4 linked regions of the Notamacropus eugenii genome follow. The protein of the gene in region 3 purifies or fractionates together with the protein of the main gene of each other region. This does not show direct contact. Links are inferred from orthologs where the notes say so. Each region holds a gene or a part of one and is shown on either strand. Other genes may lie near its edges. The genes, in order: small nuclear ribonucleoprotein-associated protein N, LSM3, MEPCE and CCNT1.

Evidence for each region.
Region 1: the proteins of MEPCE (region 3) and small nuclear ribonucleoprotein-associated protein N purify together in Homo sapiens (affinity purification with mass spectrometry; 3 studies listed by BioGRID and IntAct, counting the BioPlex papers as one, with this or other methods). This does not show direct contact. The link is inferred for Notamacropus eugenii from reciprocal best matches to the Homo sapiens genes MEPCE and SNRPN.
Region 2: the proteins of MEPCE (region 3) and LSM3 purify together in Homo sapiens (affinity purification with mass spectrometry; 3 studies listed by BioGRID and IntAct, with this or other methods). This does not show direct contact. The link is inferred for Notamacropus eugenii from reciprocal best matches to the Homo sapiens genes MEPCE and LSM3.
Region 4: the proteins of MEPCE (region 3) and CCNT1 purify together in Homo sapiens (affinity purification with mass spectrometry; 3 studies listed by BioGRID and IntAct, with this or other methods). This does not show direct contact. The link is inferred for Notamacropus eugenii from reciprocal best matches to the Homo sapiens genes MEPCE and CCNT1.

What each region holds. Positions count from the first base shown.
Region 1 is NC_092872.1:476,050,254-476,057,798, reverse strand, and holds the start of small nuclear ribonucleoprotein-associated protein N, read right to left. Parts: upstream 3,011-7,545; 5' UTR 2,797-3,010; coding exon 2,794-2,796; intron 1,731-2,793; coding exon 1,579-1,730; intron 1-1,578.
Region 2 is NC_092874.1:429,469,175-429,476,656, reverse strand, and holds the start of LSM3 (U6 snRNA-associated Sm-like protein LSm3), read right to left. Parts: upstream 3,003-7,482; 5' UTR 2,878-3,002; coding exon 2,857-2,877; intron 1,641-2,856; coding exon 1,530-1,640; intron 1-1,529. Other genes in the region: XPC (DNA repair protein complementing XP-C cells), read left to right, coding at 3,201-3,273, 7,330-7,482. UniProt on the Homo sapiens protein: Plays a role in pre-mRNA splicing as component of the U4/U6-U5 tri-snRNP complex that is involved in spliceosome assembly, and as component of the precatalytic spliceosome (spliceosome B complex).
Region 3 is NC_092873.1:80,472,968-80,480,073, forward strand, and holds the start of MEPCE (7SK snRNA methylphosphate capping enzyme), read right to left. Parts: upstream 3,016-7,106; 5' UTR 2,920-3,015; coding exon 1,306-2,919; intron 1-1,305. UniProt on the Homo sapiens protein: S-adenosyl-L-methionine-dependent methyltransferase that adds a methylphosphate cap at the 5'-end of 7SK snRNA (7SK RNA), leading to stabilize it.
Region 4 is NC_092874.1:220,497,915-220,504,913, forward strand, and holds the start of CCNT1 (cyclin-T1), read right to left. Parts: upstream 3,018-6,999; 5' UTR 2,933-3,017; coding exon 2,781-2,932; intron 369-2,780; coding exon 287-368; intron 1-286. Other genes in the region: SPMIP11 (sperm microtubule inner protein 11), read left to right, coding at 3,032-3,203. UniProt on the Homo sapiens protein: Regulatory subunit of the cyclin-dependent kinase pair (CDK9/cyclin-T1) complex, also called positive transcription elongation factor B (P-TEFb), which facilitates the transition from abortive to productive elongation by phosphorylating the CTD (C-terminal domain) of the large subunit of RNA polymerase II (RNA Pol II).

The sequences.
Region 1 (7,545 bases), on a different chromosome or scaffold from region 3:
GAAAGGACCTAGTCTAAGGTCACATAGCCAGTCACCAGTAGATATAATTTAAAATCCAGCGTTATATAGAGTCAGAGCAGAACTTCAGATAACAAGGATCTTAATAAACACTCAAATTGTACTCCATACCTCTTTTAGCATAAATTACATTCTAAATATTGTATTATAGATGTTTGAATAACTGACATTCCGCCTATTGGGCTATAAGCTCCCTGGGGACAGGATCCAAGTCTTTATTCATCATTATATTTGTTGGAATTCAAAGCACAGTGACTTACACAGAGAACACAGTTAACGTTTATTAAATGTGAAAATCAACTCCCCCTTTAAAAGCCTTATAGTGTAAGAAGCCTTCACCCCAAGATGACCTCATAGAATCACAGCCCTCTGACCGAGAAGCTCACAGAAAAATATATATATTATATAAGATGCTATTTTTGTTGATCTTATAGTACTGAGGCTTCATAAATGTTTGCTAAGTTGAAGTAAATTTACCTCAAAGCATTTCACTCACTAAATAAGAACAACTCATTATGCTTTGGGTAATTTTGCTGAACTGACATTTTTTTCCCGTTTCTTTTTATACTTTGTAACAAACGAAGGTTCCTGGAGGAACGGAAGGGTGAATGACCATATTTGGAAATGAACTTAATGAAAAAAATCAAACAATATATATTAAAAGAAAGACATGAACATATTTCATTCAATGTCATTGTTTGCTGGGAATAAAGATCTGGAACTCAGAAACTACGGGTTTAACAAATAATAAGTAGAAGGGCCCCTTTCTAGATAACTAAGTATTCTCTCCAAAACACACACTTCCTAGGAACCACAGAACCAAAGAGGGCCTGAGTTAGAACAATGAAAAAAGAACATGGATGGAACATTAGAATTACTAGATCAAATTCTATGAGGGGAAGGATTGTGAATGTTAATGTCAGAAAGGACTTTAAAGATCATCTAGTCCAGGCCTGCATAACCTTTGGTCTGACAAAGGATTTCCAGCAGCCGGTGAAAAACGTAGAGAAAAACAACTGTTGTATGTAGAGGAAATCCTTTGGCATGCCTCAAGTTGCCCATGGGCTCTGTCCCAAGGGCTGAAGGTTGTGAAGGCCTGATTTACTCTATTGTCCTCATTTTATAGACAGGGAAACTTGGCCTAGAAATAAATGCCTACAAAAAGTTGCAGTTTATACAGAGCTAGGTGCTCAGAGCTATATGCCTGCAGAAATCTAGCACCTAGATTTCCTGACTCCCTTGCACAGTACCTGGTATATTAAGAACTTAATAAATACTTTATTTAGCTATCATCTATCCCAAGACCAAAGCTCTTCCCACTGTATTGTGCTTCCTTTTATCATTTCCAGGTGATGTGTGCTGGTACACATCTAAGTGTACAATATGTCTGGGCATAAATGTTTCCTCAAAATCCACTAAGGTTGGAGTGCAGTGGGTGGGAGAGGGATGGTGTTCAGGACTAGAACAGAGAAGAGTTTTATGAATGTAAGTATAAGAAGCCTACTTTACCTGCCCTCCCCTCTTCACATCCCAAGCTTCCCAAACCATCCCCCTCCTCACTTGATCTTCCTGAACTCGTCACAGTCACACAGGATCAGGTTCATGTGCTTGTCAAAGGCCTTGAAGGTGCCGATGAAAATGCGGCCATCCTGCAGGATGCACCTCATCCTGTAGTCGATGTGCTGCAGCATCTTGCTGCTCTTGCCCACCGTCTGTGGAAACAGAGAGAGAAAAGTATTGACTCCAGACCCTGGACTGACTAAACACTGCCAGGCGCTCTTTCTACCCCTGTTCCTTTTCCATCAGCTCTCTCTCTTCTCTTCTGAACCAAGATCCGCAGTGCTTCCTCTCCACTGTGAGGTCTTGACCCTTTATCTTTTCCCAAACATCCTAGCCTACACCTCCCCCAATTATATGATTCTGACACCACACAAACACACTCTGGGCTCTTAATCCCTAGGAATGGATCCATCATCTCTGACCCAGTTCTATGATCTTGTCATCCTCCCCACACCCTCCCCCAAACCTCAGACCCCCTTAGTAGTATCCCACATCTCTGGTTTATACCACCTTCTCTCCTCTGACCCCCAGCTGCCTTCTGGCGGGTCAGCCTCCTAAAGGGCGGGTCTGACCACTCCCCGCATGCCCCTCCCCCAGTAAACTCCAGGGGTTCCTTGTTACCTCCAGGATCAAATAAAAAGCCCTCAGACTTTTAAAATTCTTCACCTTAAGCCCCCCCCCCCCGCCCCTGGCCATTTCTCAACAAGACGCCCCATTTCCCTGTTCTGGGCATTTTCGCTGGCCCTTCCTTCATTCCCTCCTGATCTTTTTTTAGTTTTCCTGGCTTTCTTCAAGTCCCTTCTGCAAGGACCTCAGCGCTAGTCCTTCCCCGGTGATCACCTCCCACTTAGCCTGCACAGAGCTCGCACGCACACGGCGGCTCGCTTATGGTCTCCCCCATCACACGGTGAGCTCCTGCGGAGCAGGGTCCGTCTTCTGCCTTTCTTTGTACCTCCAGCGTTTAGCGCCAGACGGAGCACAGAATAAGGACTTCATAAATCTGTGTGGTCTGACTTCACCTCGGCCACTTCAACCACGGAAAACCGGCCAACCCACCCCCCGCCGCCGGCAGGACCCTGACCTCTGACCCCTCCGGTCGCTCGGCCCCGCCTTCGGCAGCGTCCTCACCATCCCCGCGATCCCCGGCCCCGTCCCCGACTCGTCCAGGCCTGTGTCCCAGCCCAGGCCTAGTTTTTCCAGAGATCCCAAGCTTACCATGATGCCGGCTACGAAGTGCCCCGACTTAGAAAAAGGAGCCCCCTTCGGCGGCCGCAAACACGAGGAGCTCCAGAGGAAAGTGCCCGCCCCCTAGCTTCCGGCTGTAACGGAAATTCGAAAAAGACTATAGCCCTTGGAACGGGGAGGACACGTGACCGACCTTGTTTCCCTCAGCCGCCATATTGGGTGAGGGCAGGCGCCCTTTCCCCAGAGCAGAAAGGCTTCTTGGGAACGTTCCAGAACTAGAGGCTTCCCGAAGTGGAGAGCTCTTGTGGGAGCTCTCCAGCAGCGGCCAGCCCCCTGTCTACGAAGGACCGAAGAAGGGAACTCTCTCGTTCCTTTTTCTTGTTTTTTGTATCACCAACTCTTAGAGCAGTGCCTTACCCATAGGAAGCACTTAATAAATGTTTATTGCTGGGTGATATTGATTTTGGAACTGTCACTCTATTGTGAAGATGCCTCCAAGTCTATGTGGTTGCCAGAAATCTATATACGGGATAAATTGGAGAGAATCTCAGAGGGACGGCACTACAAATAAAAGGGAATCAGGAAAGGTTTCCTTGATTATCACTATTATCTTTCACAGAGCTGCCACAATCATCTCAAGGCACAGTTCTGAGCCTGTCTCTTCCCTGACTCCCAAATCTGCAATATTCTCTTATCCCCCCTAATGTTTAATAGAGACTCCTCAACTTTTCATTTAAGGCCCCTCTTAATCTGAGCCCCAATCTTTAAAAAATAGTCTATTTTTAAAAATTAATATTTAGTTTTAACATTTTTAAAATTTTAAATTCTGAATAAGGTCTCTCCTGCCCCTTTCCCAACCACTGAGAAGCCAGATTATGTGATAGCAATTACACATATTAAATAATGTGAAACATATTTCCTTTTAAGCTACTTTTCAAAAAAAGCAAAAAAACCCATAAAATGTTTTAAAAAATTATGCTTCCATCTGTATTCAAATTTCATCAGTTCTCCCTCTGGAGGTCAATATCATTTTTCATCATAAGTCCTTCAGAATTGTTTTGGATCTTTGAGTTCATTGGAATGGCCAAGTCATTCATAGTCAAACAGCATATAGTATTGCTGTTATAGTATTGTGTGTATAATTTTCTTCCAGTTCTGCTAGCTTCACTTTGTACCAGTTCATGTAAATCTTCCCAGGTTTTTCTGAAGGCTTTCTCCTCTTCATTTCTTCTACCACAATAGGATTCCATCACAATCATATACCTCAACTTACGCATTCATTCCCCAATTGATGGGCAACCATCAATTTCCAATTTCTTCACCACCACTAAAATAGCTGCCATAAATATCTGTGTGTATGTGGATATAGATATACATGTAGATATAGATACATAGATATAGATATGTCCTTTTTCTTTTTTCTTTGAGCTCTTTGGGATACAAACTTAGTAGTGATATTTCTGGGTCAAAGGGTATGCACAGTTCTATAGCTCTTTGGATGTAGTTTGATACCAACCTTCCTAACTTTGTTTCACTATATTCTTCCTTCACACATTTTTTTGTGATTGACAGACAGGACTGCTAAGTGTTCTCTGAACTAAACATTCTATCTCTGGCCTAGGGCTCCATATGAACAAGTGGTCCCCAAACACTGAAATGTACTATCTCCATGAGTGCCTCCCATTATATCTATGAAGGTATCCCTTCTACATGGGTGCCCTCTCAAATTCCTACCTACTTTAGGCTCAGCTCAGTTGCCATCTCCTCTGTGAAACCTTCCCTTATGTCCCCAGTTGTCAGTACTCTCTCCTCAATGTAATTGCATTTACTTATCTATGTATGGTAAAGAATATAAGCTCCTGGAGGGCAGAGACTCTTATTTTTGTCCTTCTTTCCACATTGCCTAGCCCAGGGGCTTGACTTAATGTTTAAGAAATGTTTAACTGAATGACTAATCAAGTATTTGTCAGAAATCATATATGTGCCAAAGCACCCAAAAGAAATAAGATATAATCCTTGCATTGGACGTAAAGGCACAAGAAAGCAGTTTAATGCTTGTTATAAAAGTTGTAAATCTGCAAGCTGTTTTTAGGAAAATCATGTCTAACAATTTGCGGTGCTTCAAGTCCCAAGACGAACTGGAGCACTTCACCTTCCTCTCCTCTAAGTTCTAGACCCAGGCTTATGCAGCCCATTTTCAATCCTGAGCAAGCCTAACCAACTAAAAGAAAGGCTGAACTTTTCTTTTCTCATTCTTTCACTCCTTAGGTCCCCACATTGGCACTCCAGGGAAAATTATATATATCTTAGGTTTGGCTCATGTCTTCCAAAGTGTAGAGTAAATAGAAAGGTACCCAATGTACAGTATAAATCAGGGATAAATAGGTATTTTTTTCCTCTGTATGAAAGAAATGCTTAACATACACAAGACTCACAAGCTTACATTGACAGAAAGATTTAAAGTAATATTTGGGATCTATAACTGCTGTTATACTTTCCTAGGAGGTTGAGACTTAAGACCATCAAAATCCAACCGGGCCCTCACTGCAACAAACAAATCTCGTTTTTTGACATTTTGACATTTTATGATTTTATATCTTTTTAATTTATTCACTATCCCACAGCAGCTTTTCCAAACCTTTTCAGCCCTCCTCAAAGCTCCTGTGACTCCTTCTCTCCCCATAGATAAAGTGAGCCAACCTAGCACCCCAAGGGAGAGACAGGAGGTAGAATACGCCAAACAAGTCAAACTACCACTGCCACCTTAATCTATGTCTCCCTTCAGACCTTGACATAGACAGCCCAGAATCCTGAGTCCAAGAGCTTTGCAACTAGCAGTGTTTCCAAGTCATTGCCCATAGCCTGGGAAACAACCTCTATGTAGCCTAGACACAAATACTAAAGACCCAGAAAGAAAAGTCCTTGCTACCAAAGTCCTTGGCAATATCAAATGGTTCAACATCAGAAACAGATAAGATTTTATCAATGGAAATTCCATGAAAGAAGAGGCATTATAATTTGCTTTGCTGTTACACCCTAAGGACCATGGGACCTTTCCATCTGACTTGCCCCTGAAACTTCCCATATGACAGCAGATGTCACAATACTTTGGAATTGTGATCATGGTTATCACTGTGATAATCAAATATTGAGGCAGCTAGGTGGAATCGTGGATTGGAGTCAGGAGACACCTCAGTTCCAATCTAGACTTCCATATTTATTAGTTGTATGATCTCAGGAAAATCTTTTAACCTCCGTCAGCCCCAGTGTCCCCAGCTTCAAAATGGTGATAACCACACCTACCTCCCTTGTTGTAAGGATTAAATGAAATAATATCTGTAAATCTCTTAGTATAGTTCCTAGCACATAGTAAGTATTTAAATGTCTAATTGCTTCCATGATCAGAGTCCTTAAGCTTTTCAAAATAGTTTATCTTTGCAATGTTTTTTATCATTACATAATTTGTTCTTCTGGTTCTGTTCACTTCACTAAATAATAGTAGTTCATACTAGTCTTCCCAGATTTCTGTGAAATCATCTTTTTTAGCATTTCTTACTCTTAATAGTACTCTGCTACATTCAACCCATAATTTGTTTTGCCATTCCCAGTTAATGGCCACTCCTTCAGTATCAAGTTCCTTGCCACCAGAAAAAGAGCTACTATGGGTTTTTTTTAGGTCCTTTTTGATCTTTGGGGTATAGGCCAAATTTTGTTATCATTGAGTCAATAAGTTGAGAAGTTTTGGTAGCATAGTTCCAAATTGCTCACCAGTGGTTTAACCTCTAATTATGAATATAATAGTTTAGAAAAGTCTTTTACAACTAGTGTGGTTGTGCAGAAATATGAAGTGCTACTTGCTAATTAAAGGAATTTATTTAATTAATTATATACTTTGCTTCTATGCCTCATTTGTCTTCTCACTTTGGAAGTTCTCTGGTTTCCTGGGGTCTTCTCACAGAGATTCCCAAACCTATTTGGCCTATGACTCACTTAAAAAAAAAATTACTCATCCCCCCCCATTAGGTTAGATTAACCCTTATTTTTTTCAATGCTCCCCAATTGCACCGGAAGATACTACCACCCCCTGTAAACACCCCCCCCCCCCATCGTTCCAGTGCCCTCTAGAGGATAATATTGCCCACTTTGGGACCTTATGCCAAGAATATCTGTCCACCATGCAGGCCCCATGACCTGCTTCTCCCCTTGATGAGTGCCATCTGGGATCATTGCTTCAAAGATGGCCCAGGATGACCATGCTTTGCTTTTCCATTAGTTTGTAAATTTCTTGATAGTAGAGATTGATTTTTACCCCTTTTTTATATTACTAGATCTTAACACAGTACCTGGCACATAGGTGCTTAATAAATGTTTATTGATTGATTGATTGGCACTGCTTGTGATTCTAAGGACTTCACCATGGCCTGAAACTTTTTCTCCTCCGCCTTTTCATTTTCTTTTACATACTATTTTCACCTATAAGAATGTAAGCCCTTTGGGATCAGGAACTCTTTATTTTTTACTTATATTTGCCACAGTACTTGGCACATAATAAGAAGTTTAATAAATGCTTGTTACCTGCGTACCTATTTGCTAATTAAAATACATACAAAAGCACTTAAGAGAAGAGAAAGATCACTGGAGGCAGCTACTGGGAGAAAACTTCTCTCACCAGTTTTACAGAATGACTTAGGGACCACAAATTTCATGCAAATTTGCCAATTCAGTTCATAAAAGGGAGGGAGAAGGCTGTGGATGGTTTTGCACAAAGGAATGCTAGGCCCT
Region 2 (7,482 bases), on a different chromosome or scaffold from region 3:
CCCCTGAACCCTCCCCACTTCTACCTTCCCATACCCAGGCTCACAACCTAGGAGTCATTCTGGACTCCTCACTATTTCTCTCTCCCCTACAGGTCCAACCACATCACCATCACCCGTACTCAATAAACTCCAACAGCTCCATTACCTCCAACCCCAAATAGAAAATGCTGTTTGGCATTCAAAGTTCTTTATCATCAGCCCCCTCCCACCTTTCCAGTCTTCTTACAACTTACTCCCCACCACGTGCTCTTCAATCCTGTGACACTGGCCTCCTGGACATTCCACAAACAAGACTCTCCATCTCTGGGCATTCTCCCTGGCTGTCCACCAAGCTTGGAATACTATTCCTCCTCTGCTCCACCTTCTGACCTCTCTAGCATCCTTTAAGTCCCAACTAAAATCCCATCTTCTACAGTAAGCCTTTCCCAAGCCCTCTTAATCCCAGCAACTTCCCTCTTTTACTTCCTATTTATCCAGTATAAATAGCTTGTTTGTACATACTGGTCTGCTTGTTTTCTCCCTATTTAGATTCTGAATTCCTTGAGGTCAGGGATGGGTCTTTTTGTATCCCCAGAGCTTAGCACAATGCCTGGCACATAGTGGGTGCTTAAAAAATGTTTACTGACCAACTGACCTTTCTGATTCCTTACTTAGTAAACTTAAAGACTTGAGAATCATAAAGAATCTTAGGGGTCATCTTGTACAATGTCCTCACTTCATAGACAAAAAAAATGGGGCCCAGAGAAGTTCCAATGTCTTGCCTTAAGTCACACAAGTATAAGAGGTATAATCAGGATTCAAACTCAGGCCCTCAATTGGCAAACAAAACCTCTCATCTTCTTTCAGAGCAGGTATCCCTTCCCCCCCTGAAGTGTTTCCTGACATCTTCACATGCGAAGGTTCTCTCCTTCCTCAAATACTCTAGAATATTGTAATTAACTTCTAATTAATTATCTTTTAAGTGCCTGTTATGTGCTACACACTTCTGATGCAAAGACAAAAGCAAAAGCCCCTTCTGCTCCCAGTTAGATGAGGGAGAGAATTTGGGACACACACATCAGGCCACACAAAATAGACCCAAGGTCTGATCTCGCTGCCTCCCTTCACACCTTATTTATAATTACTGATGTACATGTTGGATCCTTCGAGTAGAATGGATGCCCCCTGGGGCAGGCACGATATTGTAACCTCAGCACAGTTCCTTAAACCAGTGGTGTCAAAGTCAAATAGAAAAGAATTCCTGTGGATCTCATTAATGTGATCTATGTTCTAGAGGAAACTACAAAGCCTACTGAGACACAGGTCAGTATGGTAGACAGATGGTCTTGGACTCAGAAACTGATTTAAGTGCCCCCTCAGACACACATACCTACTGTGACCCGAGCAAATGACTTAACATCTCTGTGATGCTGGCAAAGAAGGCACCGAGTTGCACTGATAGAGGGGGTTCCCCCATTTTCAGTTTTTTTTACTGATGAAATCACAAACCCCATCTGCAGTGTGCCCCAGATTCGAAACGCTTCACTCACATGCAATCTTCCTCGTAGTTCTCGGTCATTTCTCATTTTTACATAAATTCGCTCATCCAGACTGAGCCTGATGAGATCCAGCGGCTCCTCCACAGTGTTGGTGGTCTGTTGCTGTTAAAAACAAAAACTGCAATGATGCACACCCACCAGAAGAGCTCCAGCACATTACCCACCTGCTCTTTGTAGAACCGACACTAAGGCAATTATTTCTTCACTTACAGTTTCCACCTGACCTAGCTTACAAGAGGTTACTCCATTAAAAATGAATTCCTTAACTCCTCTTTACAAGAAGCCAGCCTGGCAAAAGTACTGTCACCTGAAGGTTGTTTAGGGCTCCCAGGGCAGGCAGCACAGCCAGGCTAGAACACTTCAGAGATAGCAAACGTTTAAGGGTGCTGTGCAGAATGTCACATTTTCAGCAACGGAGGGCCTGATGGTTGTAAAAGAGTGGTGGGATGGGGAAAACGTATTTGTCCCCTTTATCTGGCTGGGCTTTAGATACAGAGACAAGTGGCAACTAAAGCTGAAAATGGAAGGGACTTGCAGATGAGAAGGGAAGAGCTGGGGAGGAAGACACTCACTGTGTGACCCTGGGCAAGTCACTGCACGTCTGCCCGCCTGAGTCGGCTCAGCGGTCAAATGGGGATAACAACGCCCCCCCAGGTTGTTGTGAGGATCACATGAGACAGCACTTGTAAAATCAGCTTTGCACACGCTAAACCCCTCACACATGCTATTCTTATCGTTAGGAGGGAGGTCAAAGGGCATAATGATTAACGAGCACCCCCAAGACCCTTGTCACTACAAACGTGCAGAAGGAAGCTTTCCAAAGGAATAGACGGAGACGAGAGGTAAGGAGCAAGAAAGCCTGTCCACCCGAGGCAGGCTGGACCGGCGTGGGCTGGGGGACTCCGCGGGCACGCCAGGGGAAGGGGCTTCTGGGACGCTAAAGCCAAGCCTCCCAGGGCTGCGGACTCGGGGCGGGGATAGGGAGGGCAGGACAGACTTGTCCTCCCTCATTGGCTGGCTGAGCCGTAAATCAGGAGGAGGCGGTCCAGCCAACGACCAGAAGACTAGCCAATGAAAACTCCGGCTGGCTAGCCGGAAGGTGACAGACAGCTCAGCCAGCCAGTGACAAAGCGGAGGAGGGCGTGGCTTTCTCCACTCGGAGCCCAAGACTTTCAGAGAATCCCCGTTACTACAGAATTTCTCGGTAGGGTTGGCGGGGAGGGAAGATTTGACGGGATCCGGGAAGAAGGAGCAAAGGGCTGCTCCAAAAAGCATCCTGAAATAGCCCAGAGGAAAGGGAGGCTCTCCAGCAACGTACCTGATCCGCATCGTCCGCCATGTTTCAAATCCGGTTGCTTTTCCCGCTTCTCGCGAGATGACGTATACGCTCTCGCGGCAGCCAGCCTATCAGCGAGAGCAAACGTGATGACGAATGCCCGGGAGGCGTGCAGAGAAAGGGTTGCTGTTACCGGAAGTACGTAAGGAACGCTTTGCTCCTTGCGGTTCCCTGCGCTCGCCTAGTGGATTTCACTTCCACCTCGGGTCTGTCTGCGGAGGTCGGAGAGGGGGCGTGGCTTTAGCCGCCCGGGGAGGATTAGTGCCCCGCCCCCGCCCCGCGCCTGAGCCGCTGCCCGGGCTTGTTCCTGGGCTAGACCGTGCAGCATGGCCCGAAAGCGGGCGTCCTGCGAGGAGCAGCGGCGCCCCAAGAAGGCCCGGACCCAGGAAGCGGAGCCCGGTGAGTGGGGGGACCGGGCGGGGCGGTGGGCTTGGCGTCTCCTCGGGCTGGGGGGTGTGTGACTGGCGGGGGTGAGAACTCTGGCTGAGCCGCCCACGTGACGCTCCGTCTCCCGCCTCCGAGCCTTTGCCTAGGTTGTCCCCCAGGCCTGGCATGCACTCCCTACATCTCTGCTGTCCCTCAGGTGCTCGAGTTTCCTTCAAAGCACAGCTCAGAAGCCACCTTCCCTGAAGTTACTTTGCATTCTTTTTGTGTATATGTATATACACTCCATCCACCATCTCTCAATAGCTATTCCTTTATCCATTTTATGTCCTTTTCATCCACCCATCCAGTAGAATATCTCTCCATCTACTTAAATATTTATCATCCACCTAAATATCTGTCCATCTCCATATCCATCCATCTATCTGTCCCATTTGCATCTGTGTATCCGTTTATCCATCCATCCTTCCATCCGTCCATCTGTCTCATCTGTGTCTGTGTCTGTCTATCCATTTATCCATTCATCTATCCAAGAGTGTAGTGTAAGTTCCTTTGGCCCAGTGGATAGAGTGCTAGGCTTGGAGTCAGGAAAATTGAGTTCAAACCAGTCCTGACACTAGCTGTGTAACCTTGTGCAAGTCACTTAAGCTGTTTGCCTCAGTTTCCTTATCTTGTAAAGTGGGGAGTAATAATAGCATCTCCCTCTCCTTGTTGTGATAATCAGTCAAATGAGATATTAATTTAAAAATGTGTGACATGGTTCCTGACACATGTATTATGTAAGTGTTTATGTAAGTGTTAGCTATCGTCGTTATTATAAGTCAGTCAGACAGGTTTTTACTAAGCTGGACCCTGTTCTAGAGGCAGGCATTACAAGTGAACAGTGTACCTTCTAATGGAGAAGGCAACAAGTGCGTATAAAAAATGTGGACAGTGTCAAGATAAATTTAAGGAATACATCCCCATTTATGCCCAGATTTATTAAGTAAGAGATTGTTTGAGAGGGAGGGCAGCAGCAGTTTGGAGGATCAAGAAATGCTTCACGCAGGAGATGGTGCAGTTTCATATTTTCTTCTGTGGCCCCTGAGCCGGCACAAAGCTGACATTTAAATATAAATGGTTGTCAATTGACTGATTGTTGGATTAAGGCACTAAAGGATGGCTGAGCCTCAGTGTTCATTCAGTTCCACAAATACTTGTTAGGAGGTGTTCTCTGTGTCCTCAGCCCCAGAGAAGGGAAGGTCATGGCCCTGAAGGAATTTACATTCCGCTAGGGGGAAATTCCACACTAATGCGATCAGGTTGGACTGAGGTTCCAGCTCTTCAGTCTCTGAGATTCATGATTCTGTTCATTGTAATTCAAAATAAAACATAAGCAAATGCCACATCCAAAGAAGGAAAGTTCGTTTTCAACAGGCATCATCAAGGAATGTTTTTCTTAGAGGCTGGAAAAGTTTGATGCAGGTCTTGAAAGATATGTAGCATTTTTGCAGATTGAGATTGGAGGTGGGAGACAATAACATGTAGGAAACTGTTTGAGAAAAGTTACCTCCAGAGTTGGGAAAAAGCAAAAACAATGTATTGGGGGAGTAGTCCTCCATTTTGGCAGGGGGTGGGGGCATAGAGTTTGAAGAGAGGAGTATTGTGAAATAAAGCTGAATAGTTAGTGAGTAGTGCCACAGCCTTCAGGACCTTGAGTACTAGACCAGGGAATCTGGACTTTGGCACATAATAGGGAGTCATTGAAGTATTTGGGGACAGAACAGCAGCCTGATCGTATCTTTATATGAGAAAAATCAATCTTGCAGTGGTAGAAAGTATGGATTGAAAGATGTCATTACTTGTTTTAAAAAAAGGGTTGAACTGGATGAATCTTAAGGCCCTTTATAGCCCTGGCACACTATGCCAGTTATCTGGAAAGTTGTCCCATAGCATGACAGGTTCATTTTCTATTACCCCAAAGAATGTAGAATCCCCAGTAAGCTTATGTTGCATAGTATTTGCAAAGCTTAAATTGTGCCACTTATTTTGAGATTTTTACTTACAAATTCTAACTATAGTGACAGCTCTGAGGTAGGAAATTCAGCCTGGCATATACATTTTATGTTTATATGCATTCTATAAATAAGGAAACAGGTTTAGAGATGTTAAGTAGGTTTGCCTCTTGTCTCAGAGCAAGGATGTGTTCAAGCCAGGATTTGACCTGTTGTCCCTTCTAGAAGAATGCTAGATTTCTGTTCTAATTCAGTTTTAAAAAAACAAAACAAAGTGCTTACAAGAAATACACTGTATCACTGAGGGTACAAAGGAAGTGGCCAAGGCCTAGCCTATACAAGCACTTAAGTCAGGCTCCTCTGAATGAGTTGTGGTCTGACTGAGGAAGAAGTCACCGGAAGTGGTCCTCAGAGCTGTGATCAGATCTCCCCTGAGTCCTGCCAGTTAGAGAAGTTTGGTCCCCGGTCAGAAAAGCAGCAGATGCTCCCAGCGGGATCCCAGCCACATCCTCCTCAAGTGTAAACAAGGGCAGTGCTTTTTTTGTCAGTAAGAAGACACAAATCAACAGCCCCGGAATGTCTTCATTTTCATTTTCTTGTTCATATCAGGGCGCCTCTGTTTGCTTCCCAGTTCTTCTCTAGATTTTATGTTCTTCTTACAACTGTCAATGTAGCTGTTGTAGTCAGGGGTCCTTCTGGTCCATGGAACCATCACTGAGAACAGAGGGGCTTACGGCTTTTCTGCACTTTCAGGACTATCTCCAGCCCCGAGGCAGACATGACATACACAGGGTCACTTTTGCTAACTCAAAGAATGGTTCAGAGGTCATTGATACCTTTGGAAGAGGTAACATCCTTATTTTCAGGATGGAAAGACTGAAATACCTCTAACCTAGTCCAGTGGCTTAGGGCCAGATCCTGAAGTAGAAATCCTCATTCCCAGGCTGTTTCTCAAACTTATTAATTTAACACATATTCGTTCAGCAGGCATCTGCTGTGTGCCTACAGAAGGGAGTCAGTCCCCTGCCCTAAGGATATGTGCCTTTGGCCCAAATAAACTCCACCTAACCCGAGGACTTTAAGGAGAACTGAAGTGCTTAGAGTAGTCAGGAAGGGCTTTCCTTAGGAGGCACACCCAAAGGAAGCCGGGGGAGTCTCAGGGAGAGATTACAGGAGGCGAGATAGGGAGAGGGAGAATTTTGAGTTCAGGGAACAACAGGTGGGCCACTTTGGCTGGCATCGAGAATGCCCCAAGGGTGCCAATGCGGAGCACATCTTGAGCCAGACTGTGAAGGGTTTTAATGCCAAACTGAAAAGTTTGTGTTTTATCTTAGAGACAATAGAGAGCCATTGCAGGTTCTTGAGCAGGGGAGTCAGACCTGTCTCTCCTGACCTAGTCACACCCATTTGTTAGGAAAATTATTTGGCAACCCCATGGAGAATAGATTAGAGAGGAAAGATGGTAGGGTCAGGGAGAACAGTTCCGAAGTAATCCGGTGAGAGGTGATGAGACCTCAAACTAGGATGGAAAAAATATGAATGTGACAGATGTGGAAGTAGAATTCACAAGACTTGACAACTGATTGGCTGATGGGGGGGCATGGACAGGTGTTGAAAACTTGGATGAATAAAACAGCTTCTTCAGTACAAAAAGGGGAGTTTGGAGGAGGGGATTGTTTAAGGAGTGAAGATAATGAAGAGAAGGGAATACGGGTTTACAGAGCACCCATTAGGTGCCAGGCACTGTGTGCTGAGCACTTCTAAGCAATATTGGTACATTTGGTCATCAGTCCTATGTCAGGGAAATGAGCATCAGCTTGTTTTTTTCAATTGATCAATAAACATTAAGAGCACCTACTATGTGCTAAGCTCTGTGCAAAAAGAGGCAAATGATAGTCCCTGTCCTCGAGGAGTCTAATGCTTGTGCACAAGGTGGGTCCCTGTGGCTGTGGAAATACCGTGATGGGCTGGGGAAAGGTTAGAGACAAGGAAACAATTTAGGGCAGCAGTTTGACTGTCCTTACCAATCCCTCCCCGCCCCCACGCGCCCTTGCCTTCTCCTTCCTCCCTCAAACAGCTGTCTTTGAAGATCAGAAGCCAAAGAACACTCGTGTCCCCCGAGTCGCTAGTGGGAAAAGGAAAAAGAAGAGCAGTGACCCTGGGGGTCCCCGAGGCGGTGCATCAAAGAAGGCAGGAGTCAGAGCCAAGAAGAAATATGAAAAGCATCCCA
Region 3 (7,106 bases):
CTCTGCCTCACTCTGGCAGAGCAGAGAAAGCACAAGGTAAGAATTAGTAGGGAGAAGGCTGTACCATGGACAAACCACCAGAACTGATTAGTTTTATCAAGAGGGATGTGCAAGGTCACCACAGGGAGAAAGCCCTAGTGTTCAGCCTTGACCCAGTTCCAGTACTTGTCTCCCTCCCACACCAATTTTCCCTGGGGCAAAAAAGCATTGCCCCATGAGGTCTTGGGCAGCCCCTCCAGTCTTTCCCCATTCTCTGTCATCCTTCCCACTTTTTCCCCTCCCCCCCTGCTCCCTGCCCCCCAGTCTTGAGTTTCAAGTGAGTTTTCTTCAGTGTTAAATTTTAACACAACTCAGCAGAATATAAGCTTTGTGAGTTCAAGGACTGTTCAATTTGTTTTTATGTCCCTGGTGCCAGGCAGAAACTACGCACTTAAATGTTGAGACCAAATGAAAATTTAAAAAAATCCCAGTCCCCAAAGCCTAAGCAAGACAGCAAAACTCCCCCACAAACTTGTCAGTTCCCTTTACCCTACTCTACAGAAGGTCTTGACCTGGAAGGTTCAGTTACTATACTTACTACCTGTGACCATGTGCAAGGCACTTAACTACTCTGGGCACTTGATTTCATCTGTAAAATGGAAGGGTTGGACTAATCTAAGGGGACCTTTGGACCTCACAAGTTCTTTCCAGGGCTAAATCTGTAAGTCCCTAAAATATTTCCCTACACCTTTTTGTTTTACTCCTGGGTAATCCACTCGAGTTTTCTAACCAATAACACTCAAACTAATACATTAAAGGAGAAAATTTGACTGCAGGCAGGATTCTAGCTTTCTCATGAAGATAAGGGTTGTTGAGACAGAGGTCTACAGTGGAAAAGCACAATGAATTCTCTGGTCTATCTAACCTGGATAACACAGAAGAAGCATTAGTTCAGATACCTATCACCTAAGAATGGTTCTTGGGACAGCTCTAAGGTCAAGTTTTTGCAGGTTTAAAATGCTCAATGGAATAATCCTAGTCTGTTGAGCAGACTCAGTTAAAGGGTGTAACAGGGAAAAGGAATCCCATTCTCACTGCCCTATAAGCAAGAACCCTGAATTCATGGGGAAGACAGGGTATAGTCATTAAGGTGAGAAGTCAAGGCCCTATCAGCACAGGCCCTAGACCATTTTCAAATGTGAGTTCCCAAGTTGCAAGAATAGTTTTGCTCTTAGCCATAACTACCTCTCCTCCCTCCCCTGTCATGGCACAGTAAACAAGTCTGCAAAAATATCCCTTACTCCAACAGCTACTAGGTCTCCTTACCGTGATGAAGACAACATTGTTGGGAAATATGGAGGCATCAGCCCCATCCAGAGGCACTTGGGGTGCAGCAATGGGGCCCCGACTGGCAGTCAGGGAGGCTGGGAAGCAGCTCTTCTTTCGGGTGGCAGCAGTCCCCTTTCCACCCTCTGGTCCTTGGGCTCCTTCAGGTGGTTGAGGTGCAAGACGAAGTTCCTCAGATAGATAATGTCGGATGTTCTGTCGAGCAGAGTGTATGAGCCGGGCATCGATGTCTACACCCACTACTCGAGCCGGGCCCCACTTGCAAGCAATGCTTAGCGTCAGGTGGCCCACATTGCAGCCTAGGTCCAGCACATCACGGCCCTGGAACCATTCAGGCCTCATCACCCGAAGCCTCCCATCCTCACAATTTGGGTTTCGATAGCCGTAGTACTTGCAATAATTTCCGTACTGGAACTTACTTTGCTGCTTCTTGAAGCCAGCCGCAGGCAGAGGGTGGTCATGATGGCGACTCCCGCCTCTCGCCCGGACTTTCTCCTTAGGGCCCTGGCCACTAGCCCTGGCACCTGACTCAGACTTGCTGGAAGTCCTACGGCGTTTCCGGTGATGTCGGGAGGAAGACAAGGGAGCAGGTGTGGTTGAGGCAGCTGAAGGAGCTGCACGAGTGCCTGGGGGGTCCTGTGGGGCAGGCAGAAGGGGGGACACTACTTCATCCCTACAGTTGATGGCAGTGTTCAGTTCATAAGGCTGGGGGCCATCCCGGCCTTGGGACCTCTGTCGTTGTTGCAGCTGCTGGGGGGTGGTTTCTCCATGCAGCGAGGGAGTTGTGGAAGTTGGGGGAAGCGCAGAGGAGGTGGGATCACTCCCCCCCGGTCCCCCAGTCTGTTGCTGGTGGTGCTGTCCACGATGTCGATGTCTCTTTCTACCAGTCTTGAGTGGTGAGGCTCGAACCACTTGGGCCTCATCAGTGCAGGTATTGAGGCTGAGTGGGTCGGTGATGTCCTTGGGAATGAGGATTTCCACAGGGTCCCTCCCCTTCGCTGGCAGTGGGGAAGACTTGGGAGTCTCAGCATTGAGTGCTCGACTCACCTCCTCATCCAAGAGGCTATTCAGATTCAAAGGATCGAAGATATTGCCCCCCAAGAGAAAATTGGAAGGCAAGACCGGGTCGCAGTCCGAGTTAACTCGCCTACGCCTCTTGAAGGCTGGATGCTTGAAGCCACCCACATTACAGCTATTCCTCCTCTTGTTCCCACCGGTCCCGGGAGGCCTATGGGGCTGGAAGCCATTGCGCTGTCTGGGGGGTGCTGGGGTCCCTACTTCGGCCCCGCCCCAACCCCTTCGCTCCTCCTCCATGTCAGGGGGAGGGGCCTCCCCCTGCGCCATCGGATCTCCACTTCGCCGCGGATTCTGGCCAGCCCTAGCGGGGGACGGGGCCAGAAAGCCCTCCCTGCCTGATATGGTGGGCGTATGTGGGCTTGGTCCCTGTGCTGTCCCGCCACAAAGCTCCCCGGAGGAGGCCTCTCGGTGTGGCTGCACCAGAGTGCCACCGCCACCGCTGGAATCAGCTTTGAGGGGTGGCGGCGGCGGGGCCGGCACGAGGAACGGCTCCTTCTCAGCTGCCATCTCGATCATCTCTTCCCCCCTCCCCCGATTAGGCTAACGAGGGAGATCAGGGGGCCTACACCCCCTCCCTTTTCCCCTCTTCCTCCCCGCCCCTTCTCCCAGTGCGCGCGTAACCCCGCTCTTCCCTTATTCTCTCGCGTCTCCACTAACCCGCGCGAGACCAAAACAAGCTGCCCGCGAGACCCGAACTGAGTAAGAAAACAACGGAGCCTGCGCTTTTTCCTCCACCCCTCCTAACGCGCGCTACCAGACACACTGCGCGTGCGCACTCCACCCCACGCCCCCTGTTGTGCCCGCACCAGGGACAGAACAAACTTAACGGCTAAAGGCTTTTAAAAAAGGGAACCACCGCTTCCAAGTGACACCCCGTTTCCTTCGCAACGATCTCCCTCCCACCCGTATCCTTCGCGCACGCCCACCAACCGTCGGCGTAGGGCCGATGGGAAGAGCTTCCTTCCACCCCGTCCCGGCTCCTGGGACTGAACGTCTGCGGCCTCCGCCTGGCTGCTAGCCCTGCTGCCTTTCTACCCCGCCTCTTTCCTCCTCGAAAGGGCCACGCCTGCGCACTCGCCCTATCAGTCTCGCGCTTCTTGGCGCTGCACGTGCTGGGAGCTACCACTCACCCACCGCTCGGGACTGCAAAGTCGGTTTCTTATCCCTTTAAACAGACTTCCCTCCTCAGCCAAGAGAGGAACATAGCTGCATCCTAGAAGTGGGTAGGGGCGCAGTAAATTAATAATAATGAATTACTTCACACGCACACACACTAGGAGTGCGGGAAAGGGAAAGTGGAAATATGAGATGGATGGTGGAGGGGTTTGGAGTGCAAAGGCCTATATCCCTACGAAAGACCTGTTGTCACTAGAATAAAATTGGTGCCAAGATGTCACCTTAACTCTCACACGTTCTCCTGGCAGAGAAAAGCGGCTAAGAAAAGAAAGGAAACTGAGCTCTGCTGAAATAGCCAAAAGATTGCCTTAGACTTTCCCTAAAATGGAACGACTCGGTTTCTTCACTCTATTCCGTTTCCCTGCCTCCTAGCCAAATTAAAAAGGCCGGAAGGGGTGGGAGGTATCGCGATACTCTCTATTCTTTCCCGCCCACCGTCGCCACCCCGACTGCACCTGCGCGCACAGTCTCCCTTCTCCCTACTCCCCCCACTCTAATTTGCCTCAATCCAATCAAAAGTAACCATCACCACTTAGCAGATTCTTTGCCGTGAAGGAACGTGGCCTCGGCGCCTCTTCACATTGGAAAATGAGCTGTTTGGACCGCCCCCGATTAACGTAACCTCCCATCGACTGGCCAATAGGAGCTCGCGGGGGGGCGGGTTTAGGGAAGGGTCCTTGGGCTGCGAAGAGGGAGGGGTACCGGAGAGGGGCTAATGGCCAGTAATTCGTTGGAAAATAAAGATAAAGTGCAACAGAATTAGAATCAGGATTCGGAAAAGGAAAAAAAACATTATCCATTCCGGGGCAGAGAACAAGCCATAATGTCAAAAGAACCCTCCCAATTATAATCAGGCGCTGCTCCTAATAACTAAAAGTTGTGACTACGGCAGAATGGGGTATGCCGGGAATTGTAGTTTTTGTAATCGCCCGGGGTGGAAGACTTGGCATGCGCCTCCCGAAGGCTCTTCCGCCTCTCCGCTTTAAACGCTTCGCCTTTGCCGTCTAGTCTCCGCGCGTGCTCAGTGAGGTAGAAGTTCGAACGCCGGAGAACTGGGCTGGCGCCCGAGCGGCCGGGCTCTTCTTTGGTGGGACAGGCGGACGGAGGTGGGGGACCGCGAGCTCGCCGGCTGTTGCCACCTGTTGTTTGTTCCTTCCCCAGTCCCAACCTTAGCTCCCCCGGTTCCTGACGCCTGGCGCGAGCCCTGGCTTCCCTCCCTCTCTCCCCGCCCCGGGCGCCAGCAGCTGAAGCCCCGGCTGTTACGGAGGCCTTAGCGCGCCTCCGGTGACCGCCCGAGCATTTGGAGGTGGACCGAAGGCACCCCTTAGCCCTGCCCCTGCCCCCCCAAAGCACTTCGCGGGAAGGGATGATTGATCCTAAGAAAGGCCTGTCAGGATCTGAAGGCTGGTGGGGAAGGAGTCCGGCCAACCCCAGGCGGGAGGGGGGAGGGGAGAGCTCGTCTGCACTTGGATCTCGAGCGAGGAAAGGGGCGTTTGTATTCGATTTTTCCGTCCTCGAACCCTGGGAGCGCTTCGTGGGCGGCGCTGCAGGGCGTGGGGTGACGGAAAATGCATCTGGGATCTGCGAAGGAAGTCAGCCTCCCGATGGCCAGCCTGGCATTTGCGGGCGGCAGAGCGCTTGACGTAGGCTGCCTGCTTTGCCGCTCGCCACGTCCGTGGGAGGACGAGAGCTTTATTACCCTAGTTTGACGGAGGAGGGACGAAGACCAAGCTGGTAAACGGCTCAGGGGGGTTTGAACTCCATTTTTCTGACTCCAAGTCGAACACCTTTGTCCACCCTAGCTATATATACGCTGTTGACTAGCATTCGGACAGTAATAGTGTATTTATAGAGCCCTTTGCAAATGTCTCAGCCTTACAGCCCTGGGAGGTAGGTGAGGTATGTATATGTGAGATATTATCACCCACATATATCTATATACACATATGCATATGTATACACACATATATATAGGGATGTGTATTATACTAGTCCTTAAAGCTTAAAATTATACTAAGATTTTGGGGATTGTATATATGTACGTATAATATAGGCAAACACGTGTAAAAACACCTATGTATGTATTTACATATATACATATAGAGGTGAGGATAGTATCAGTTGCTGATTTGAAAGCTGCAGTGACACTAAGGAAAGGAGAGTGGAAGGAAAACCTTTGAAGCAATATTTGGAGAGATGTCAATGGATTTTAAGGCATAATTAACTGAGAAAAGGCTTGGTTAGCATTTTGCGTCATAGTCAATTGGCAACAAACATTTATTGAGTACTAGACATTGTGTTAAGCTCTGGGAATGAAAAAAAAAGCAAAAACAGCCCCTGATGTCAAGGAGCATACATTCTACTTGGAGAGTCAGCGTGCAAATAACTATGTTTATACAAGACATACATGTATATGATATATACAGAACTGAACCATGGTATATACATACCATGTATATGGTGTAAATGAACAGAATTAGACATTTAAGATAGGGTCAATGTAGGAATTTGTTTTGCAAATTGGTATGTATGTGTTATAAGGGTTTTACTGTTTTTCTGTCGGTGTGTGGAAATAGTGTTAGTTTGTCAAAAAGAAAAATGTCATTGAAATAGAAAAGAATAGAAAGAAAGCTAGAAGGAGAAAACACTGACAAGTAGGACAGTTTTGAAGATTACATGTTGAATTTATTATATATTTTTAAAAAAACGTTTGTAATAGAGATTTATAATTTCATGTACCATCCTCCTTGTTGTGTTCATGGTCATAGGATCGTAAGATTTAGAGCTGGAAGTCATGGAATATAAGTCCCTAATTTTATGGCTGAGAAAACTGAAACCCAGAGAGATTAGGTGGCTCACACAGCTAGGGTCTGAGGCAGGATTCCAAATAAAGAAGGTTTTTCCAATCTGAGGGAAGTTCTCTGTAAGCTCAAAATGTTCATTTTATTTGGTGTTTGTTAAGTTCAGTATTTTAAAAATTAAATTAAATTGAAAAGATTTTTAAAAATAAATTTTAAAAGATTTAAATAAAAAATAAATAAAATTAATTAAATAGAAAATTTAAAAATTGAAGACTGGTCATATTTTGGAGCTTCCTTGGGCAGTCAAGACCAAGTCCTAATACATTCCCAGTAGATAGATTTACTAGAGTCTGTTATCAGTTTTCTGCCCTATAACCTTTATTTCCTTGCTGTCTTGAATGTGTTTCCTCTCCAGGTTTTAACTGAGTAGGTGGTAGTTTCTCTGAAAGTGTAGGTAGCCACTTATGAAATGTGTCCAAAGGTAAATGGAGGAGAGAGAGAAAATGAAATCTGACATTCCATTTTGTAGTATAGAATATCCATGACCTCAAAATTTTAGAACCCCACCATGTTTAACTTATACAACAAATTCAGTCCGCTGAAGGGACCACAACTCAAAACTTTTCCTGCTCAATAAAATCTGCCAAAGCTAATACTCTACTGACATAACCTTCATCAGCTTAGGTCAACTCCACATTTTGATGAAGTATCAGAATAGAGCTTGTA
Region 4 (6,999 bases), on a different chromosome or scaffold from region 3:
TAAGTAACATAAATTACATAATACATTATATTTATACTATAAATAATATATTATAGTATAAATATATAACAAATTATAATATATAATTTATATATAAGAATATATATATGCACATATATATATAAAAGATAAATAATAAGATCAGGTACAGTAAGTACCAATTGTTTACACTTCTACATCAAAGGAGATATTTATAAAGCACTTAGCAAGTGCCTGGCACACAGTCCATGCTTAATAAATGCCTGTTTCTGTTCCCTCCTCCATCCTTTGTTAAAACCATACTTACATTCCGATGGAACTGTGTAAAAGACTGGACCATGTAGAATCGGTGCATGTACACAATAGCAGTGTTGATGGTCAGTTGGGAGCTAAGAGATCTAAGTTAAGTGAAAATGAAGACAGGCACAGACCCAAGTTCCTACAAACACAACAACCTTTTGCCTTTCTCAAAGACCATAAAGTATGAAAATAATTTCTTCTGAATGAAAATATAATCTATCAATGAAATCACAGGTCCTGGGTACACATGAAAGATTAGGTTAGGATTATACAATGTGTTCCTGGGGGAAAAATAAAACAAAGAAAAACTGCTCTAAAGACCTATAAAAGCATAGCATCAAACGTGATATATTTATGAAATGCTGGGATAGTAAAGCACTCCTGACTCTTTTCATGCCATCTTAAGAATCCCCTTTCTGGCCCCTGTTTTCTCTTTTCAAAAATGAAGGGGCTGAACTTTTATGTGATCAATAAGATTCTTGCAAGCTATAAACCAATAACCCTATGACTTACAGGTCTTTCCAATGTCTACTGGCAAACTAAAAGTATTTCTTTAAATTTTTTATTTCAGTTAATTGTAGTTATATTACACTGCAAGCTTGAGGTGAGAAAGACCTTATACTTTTTTCCTATCATTCAAAAGGCCTAGCAAGATTCTGTGTACACGGTAAAATTCAAATATCTGTTCAATGAAGTAGCAGATAAGATTTTTTATTCTTAGTTAGTCAGTCTTGGCTTTTTTAACAACAGGTAAGCCACTTAGTCTCTTGGTGTCCCCAGCACCTCTATGATCATCAACCTCACTTTCTCCTTCAGAGTCATCTGGGCCTAGTGGCATGACACAGATCAGAAAGACTGGAGAAGGCCCTGGATGCAAGTTAGAGATGTTGACCTTTTTTCTTTAGAACTACAGATTCCAGCCAAACAATCAAGAACCTCATATGCACAATGCAGAAGGAACTGTTGATCTTTGTCTCTGACAAACACACAGATAATAACTGTTACTAGCAACTTCATTGCTGAATATAATATATATCACCATGCTTTAAACAACTTAGAATCTAGTCTTTTATGTGTATCAAAATAGAGATTCACAGTACTGGAATCACATCTTCACCTCCTCTAATTCTCTATAACCTTTATTTTGTGGGTTCCATTCATCTGACTATTTTGATATATTCCCCTACAAGGGAGAAAATTTTTCAAACTGAAATGTCTAATATCCTAAACAATAAGTTTTTAAGGAGTTTATAACTTTTTTGCACCAACAAAGATATCTTGATCCAGAACAAAGGAATGCTCCCAATGAAACAATTGTTAATGTAGATAACTAAAAAAAATTTCTGTATCAAGTCAAGCAGCAGTTGTTGATGTATTTACCTCCGCTAAAATTACATCTTGGAGCACAAAGAACTTAAAGTTATGTAGTTCAACCTTATAACAGAAGCACAAATTCCCCTACTAGATAGCAAACTCCCAGGCTCTTTGTTTTGTGTATCCGTTTTTCCCACCTACCGGAGGTTGAATTTGAAATCAGGTCTCTGACTCCAAGATCAAACTCTTTATTTGCTTTAACGGAAAATAAAGATTTTTTTTTTCATCCAGACCCCCTAGAAATCTATCTCAGGTTAAGAACTTCTATCCTAGACCATCCAGTTCAAATCTATCAGTACCAGTAGACTGAAAGGAATTCAGTATAGGTAATATTGTTTTAATCCACCCTCAGGGTCCTTGTATAAGCTATAGTATTAATAAAAAAACAACAACAACAAAAACCTTTAAAGCCAACAAACATTTTCTAAAATGTTAGTCCAGATTTGGTCTTGAGTTTAAATGAAGATCATCACCAACTCAGTTATGTGACCATTTCTACTACTGGAAGTGTAGGCACAATGACAAAACTAGAAAAGGTTAATTCAGGAAACCCCAGTGTTTCTTAGTCAGGTCACTACCTAAAGCACTTGGAGGTTAAATTCCAGTAAACCACTGTAAGCAATTCCTGCTTAACAATTCCACAACCCATCCGAGTCTCCATTCTCCCTGCCTCACCCTTCGACACGTCTTCAACAAAAGGTAGAAAGCAGGTGAAGCTTTGGAAACACTTCTCTTAGCCCCTTTGGGATAGAAGCAGGCCAGTTCTCCAAGGCTGAGTACGGGAAGGCCGTACAAAGTTAAAAAAAAAAAAAAAGCTGTCAGGAAAAAGGCTAACACTGGGCCGAGAAAGGACACTGAGTCCGGGAACTGCACTCACTGCGCTGAGAGTAGATGCCGGTGGCCGTGAAGCGGGAAATGACTCCACTTCACCTCCCCCCACGGAAACAGTGTCCTAATCCTGCCCATGCCGACAGCCTGGGCCCACTCAGCGGTCCCAGAGCCCCGAAAAGAAAGAGACGCTAGGCCCCGCTCCCAGTCTCCCAGTTCCTCAGTCCCTGACCGAATCCAGAACCCGAGGCCCAGCGGAGCGATCCCGAGGCTAGGCCGCGGCGCGGCGAGAAGGATACACGTTGAGACGCTGCCCCATATCCTGAAGGAGATTGGCTGCTTGCTGCCGGCAATAGAGTTCTTTGTCCGGGTCGATGCCGGCGCGACGGGACGGGCTCTTTTCCAACTGTTCCCGGGTGAAGTACCAGCGCTTGGCCGAAGCTCCCTCCATAGTGCTTCACCCAGGCGGTGGCGGCGGCAGCAGCGGCAAGCACGTCCCGGCGTCAACTGCGCAGCGACGTACATCCGCTGGGAGACGTCCGAGCGCGCGATGACGCACATCCGATTCCGTGGCCCGGGGGGGCCCCCCCTCAAGGAGGCAGGGGCGGAGCTAGAGGCGGGTACTTCCGCCGAACTCCTCCCCTCGACCTCGGACCAGGGCGATAACCTCACGTGGATTGGCTGGTTCCAGGGCGCAGGTCTGCGGGAGGTGGTGTTTAGCGGTGGGTTGTTAGGAGATCCCGCCCCAAGTCCGGGTCTCCGCGCGAGAAAGAATTTGGGGAGGAGCGACGGTTGTGGCGCGTTCGCGCCTTCCCGGGGGGGGGGGGGGGGGGGGGGGGAGAAGGGTGGAGTTTTTCTCGCTGGGAATGAGGCGGATGTGGGAGGGAGGGAGCGAGCAAGGGTCAGGATTAGCTTGATGATTGTTAATTGTTTGTAATGGTTTTCCACTACGAGTTAACTGCGAGCCGGGGAACCTGAGGACTCTGGAGGATGACACGTTGGGGGCCCCGCCCTTTCCTGAGGGTTTTCGCACGAGGGGGCCTTAAGGGACCTGGAAGCGACGTCCTTTAGAAAAAGGGCGGTGGGTCAGCACCTTCTGGGTTGTAGAATTGAAACCTAGAAAGGGCTTTAGGAATCCAACTCTTCTTCGTGAAGGTCACTCGGGTCATCCACATAGTGGAATCGGGATTCGAACCCAGTGGTCTCGGGCTCGTGTCACCCACGCGGCCCACGCATGGATGCGGCAGAGGAGGAAAGAGTGGCCGAGCTAGTAGGGTCATGTTTTAAAATGTGAATTTTAGTAATGACAGTACAAACCTTGAGAGAGTGATGCCGGGATTTGGGGTAGGGTGTATTCCCTCCTAACAGAGCTGGGGCAGAGGACAAGGTGATGAACAGTGTTGAATGCTGCTTTTTATAAATACAGGTTTATAATAAGAAATGGCATTCTTCTTAATCTAGAGGTATTTATTTTCTGATGTCAAATGGAATGTGTCATTATGCTTTTGGAGGGATCCGTGGTGCAGCTCACCAGATTGGCCCAAGGTTGTCAAATGCCTTGTTTGCAAATCTGTCATTTAAAGTGGTTTAAGAATAGAATCTAGTAGGGACTTGAATGATCGCCTTTAGCCACAGGCCCAGGAAAGCAAAATGACGTATTTGAGAAGGAAAAAAATCAGGTGGGGTGTGCTGGAGCCAACCAGAACCAGAGTTGATTGTTAAAATTTCAGTGTATTTACACCTTAAGACATTGGAAAACTATAAATGGGATCTCATTGTTTTGTTAATTGTCTAAACATAAGAAAGTGATGGCAGAAATGTAGAATAAATGTGCAAGTATCATTTCATTTTTTCCCCTAGAAAGCCCTGTGATTGAACATTTATGCTTCCTCACATTATCCTATGCAGTTTTCAGGCACAATCAGAAATACTGAAACAGGGGCTTTAAGTCAAGGGTTTCTGTTCCCTTCATCTCCATTCTATTCAGAAAGTTATTGTTGCTGTTAAGTAGTGCCCAACTCTTTGTGAGCCTATTTGGTCTTCTTGGCGACCTGTACAGCAATACAGGGAGTGGAGATGGAATGTCATATCAGGTAAAGCAAGGCTAGTTTGGCTTGCAGAATGAATGAAAAAGATTTACTAAGTTTCCTATGTGCCAAGCACTGTGTAAGCACTGAGAATACAAATGGAAAGTCAAGGCAGTTCTGCTCTCAAGGAGCTCATTCTCTAATCAGATGAGGCATAATATGGGAGTCAACTTTAAGGCAAGTGGAAAGGTCCAGAAGTGCTAAGGATAAAATGAATGGGCAGATGGCAATGTCCAGGAATATTTAAGGTACGTTGACAAGTCATAAAGAAGTTTTAGGAGGGGAAGGGGAGCTAGGATTTGTCCTCCATCTTACTGGAAAGATTCTAACAGTTCATTTGCTATGATCACATCCACTGTGCAGGTCAGGGGGCCTCAATGGTTCTGGACTACTACCTACCACTGGGAATAGATAAGGGGTTAAGTGAAACTGGGATTCTGGATTCCCTCCAGCAGTGATGGAGATAGAGCTAGCTGGTGGTCAATCTTTAGCCAAAAAGGGTGACAGGGAAGGGAATGCCCTGTAGTACATGATCTGAAGGTCTGTAAATGTCAAACAGGATATTGCATTTGATCATAAAGGTAATGGAAACCCACTGGAGCTTACTGAGCTGGCCAGGGAGAGGGGGCAGCAAGGGAAGGGGGATTGACATGGCCTGACTAATGTTTTAGGAATATTACTTTGGAAGTTGTGTAGAGAATAGATTGGAAAAATGGATTGAAAAAAATAGAAATTTGAGGAAAGGGAGAGATTGGGAGAGTAAAAAGTAGGCTATTACAAATAGGTGAGAGCCTGAACTAGAGTAGCAACCACGTGAGTGGAGAAGGGAATGTCCACAAGAAATGTAATAGAAGAATCAGCAAGACTTGGGAACTGAATGAATATGGGAGGGTAGGTGATGGAAGGTAAGGAGTTGAAGATCAATCAGTAGATCAGCAAATTCTGGACCAGGCTAAGTAAGAGGTAGCAGGTTGCAAATCTGGGTAAAAATGAGAATAGTGGTACCCTTGACAGAAATAAGGAAATTAGGAAGAGGGTTGGGTTTTAGGGGAAAGTTAATGAGTTTTGAGATGCAAATGGGGCAGCCATTTAGAAATATCCAATAAAAGCAGTTGCTGATATGGGACTGAAGTTCAAGAGCAAGAAATACAGATCTGAGAATTCATTGTCTGCAGAGAGATAATATTGAACCCATGGAAACTGATGAGATCACTGAGAGAGAAAGTTGTGTAGAAAGAAAAAATGAGGGCCCAAAATAGAGCCTTAGGGTAACTCATTTGGGGGTCAGAAGCAACCAGACAAGTAGGAGAACCAACAGACAATGCCCTGGAAATCTAGAAAGTAGCTCCTGCATTATCAGTACTGATGAGAGGTCCAAGATGAGGATTTAGAAGAAGCCCTTTTATTTGGCATGTTTATATTTGTGTGTAGGTATGTAACCTCTTTTGAACTAAACTGTGAGCTGTTTGAGGACACCACCACCCAGTGCCCATAGCATACAGTAGCCTATCTACAAGAAATGTTTGTTGAATGAGAAAGCTGAAGGACTGAATAGTAATAATAGTAAGTGGCTTTTTATAACTTTTATAACTCTTACTTAGTACTTTTCTAACAACTGCCTTTGTAGGTAGTAATGAAAGTATCATTACCACCATTTTACCAGTGATAAAAACTGAGGTTCAGGGAAGTTGAGACTTGCACAAGATAACTCAGCTAACAAGAGTCTCACCACCTTTAGGATGATTGTGCCCAGTTCTCCCAGCTGAGGATATCTGAATTTTCTGGTCCTTGGAGTTTTTAATGGGTAAAAGTGTCCAAAGTAACACAACAGGGATCTGCCTGTGTTGGCACCTTTGCCCTAAGCCATGCCACAGAGCTGACCTTATATACCTGTTGGATTTTTCTCTTTACTTTCCATTCTAGCCAAGTCAATCTGTTTTTCCAGCACAGACTTGCTAATTCCTGTTTACCTTTAAAGGCACATTCCTCCTCTGTGGATACGTGCCACCTCTTCTTTACCACTGGTGTCCACAGCCTCCTTTAAAATCCAACTCAAAACATGAGATATATAACATAAATATAAGAAGTCTTCCTAGATTCTATACTCCACTTGCATTACTGCACTTTTGTCATTCTGTACTTGTTGACATATTAATTGATAATTGCTCCCAAGTTATATATGTATATTTGCCACATTAGGATTATAAACTCCCAGGAGACAGAAAATAGAACTTCTAATTCTTTTATATCTTTCTCAAAGTGTCAGTGTAAAGTTCTTCACTTAATGGATACTCAGATTCTTATTTAACTAATCATGGGGGAAGAATTGAATTTACTGAAGAGTTTTTAAGAGGAAATGATTTTTAGATTAAGAAGAAATGACATGAAAATTGAATATAAAGTTATTAATAATAATAACTTCTAATAATAA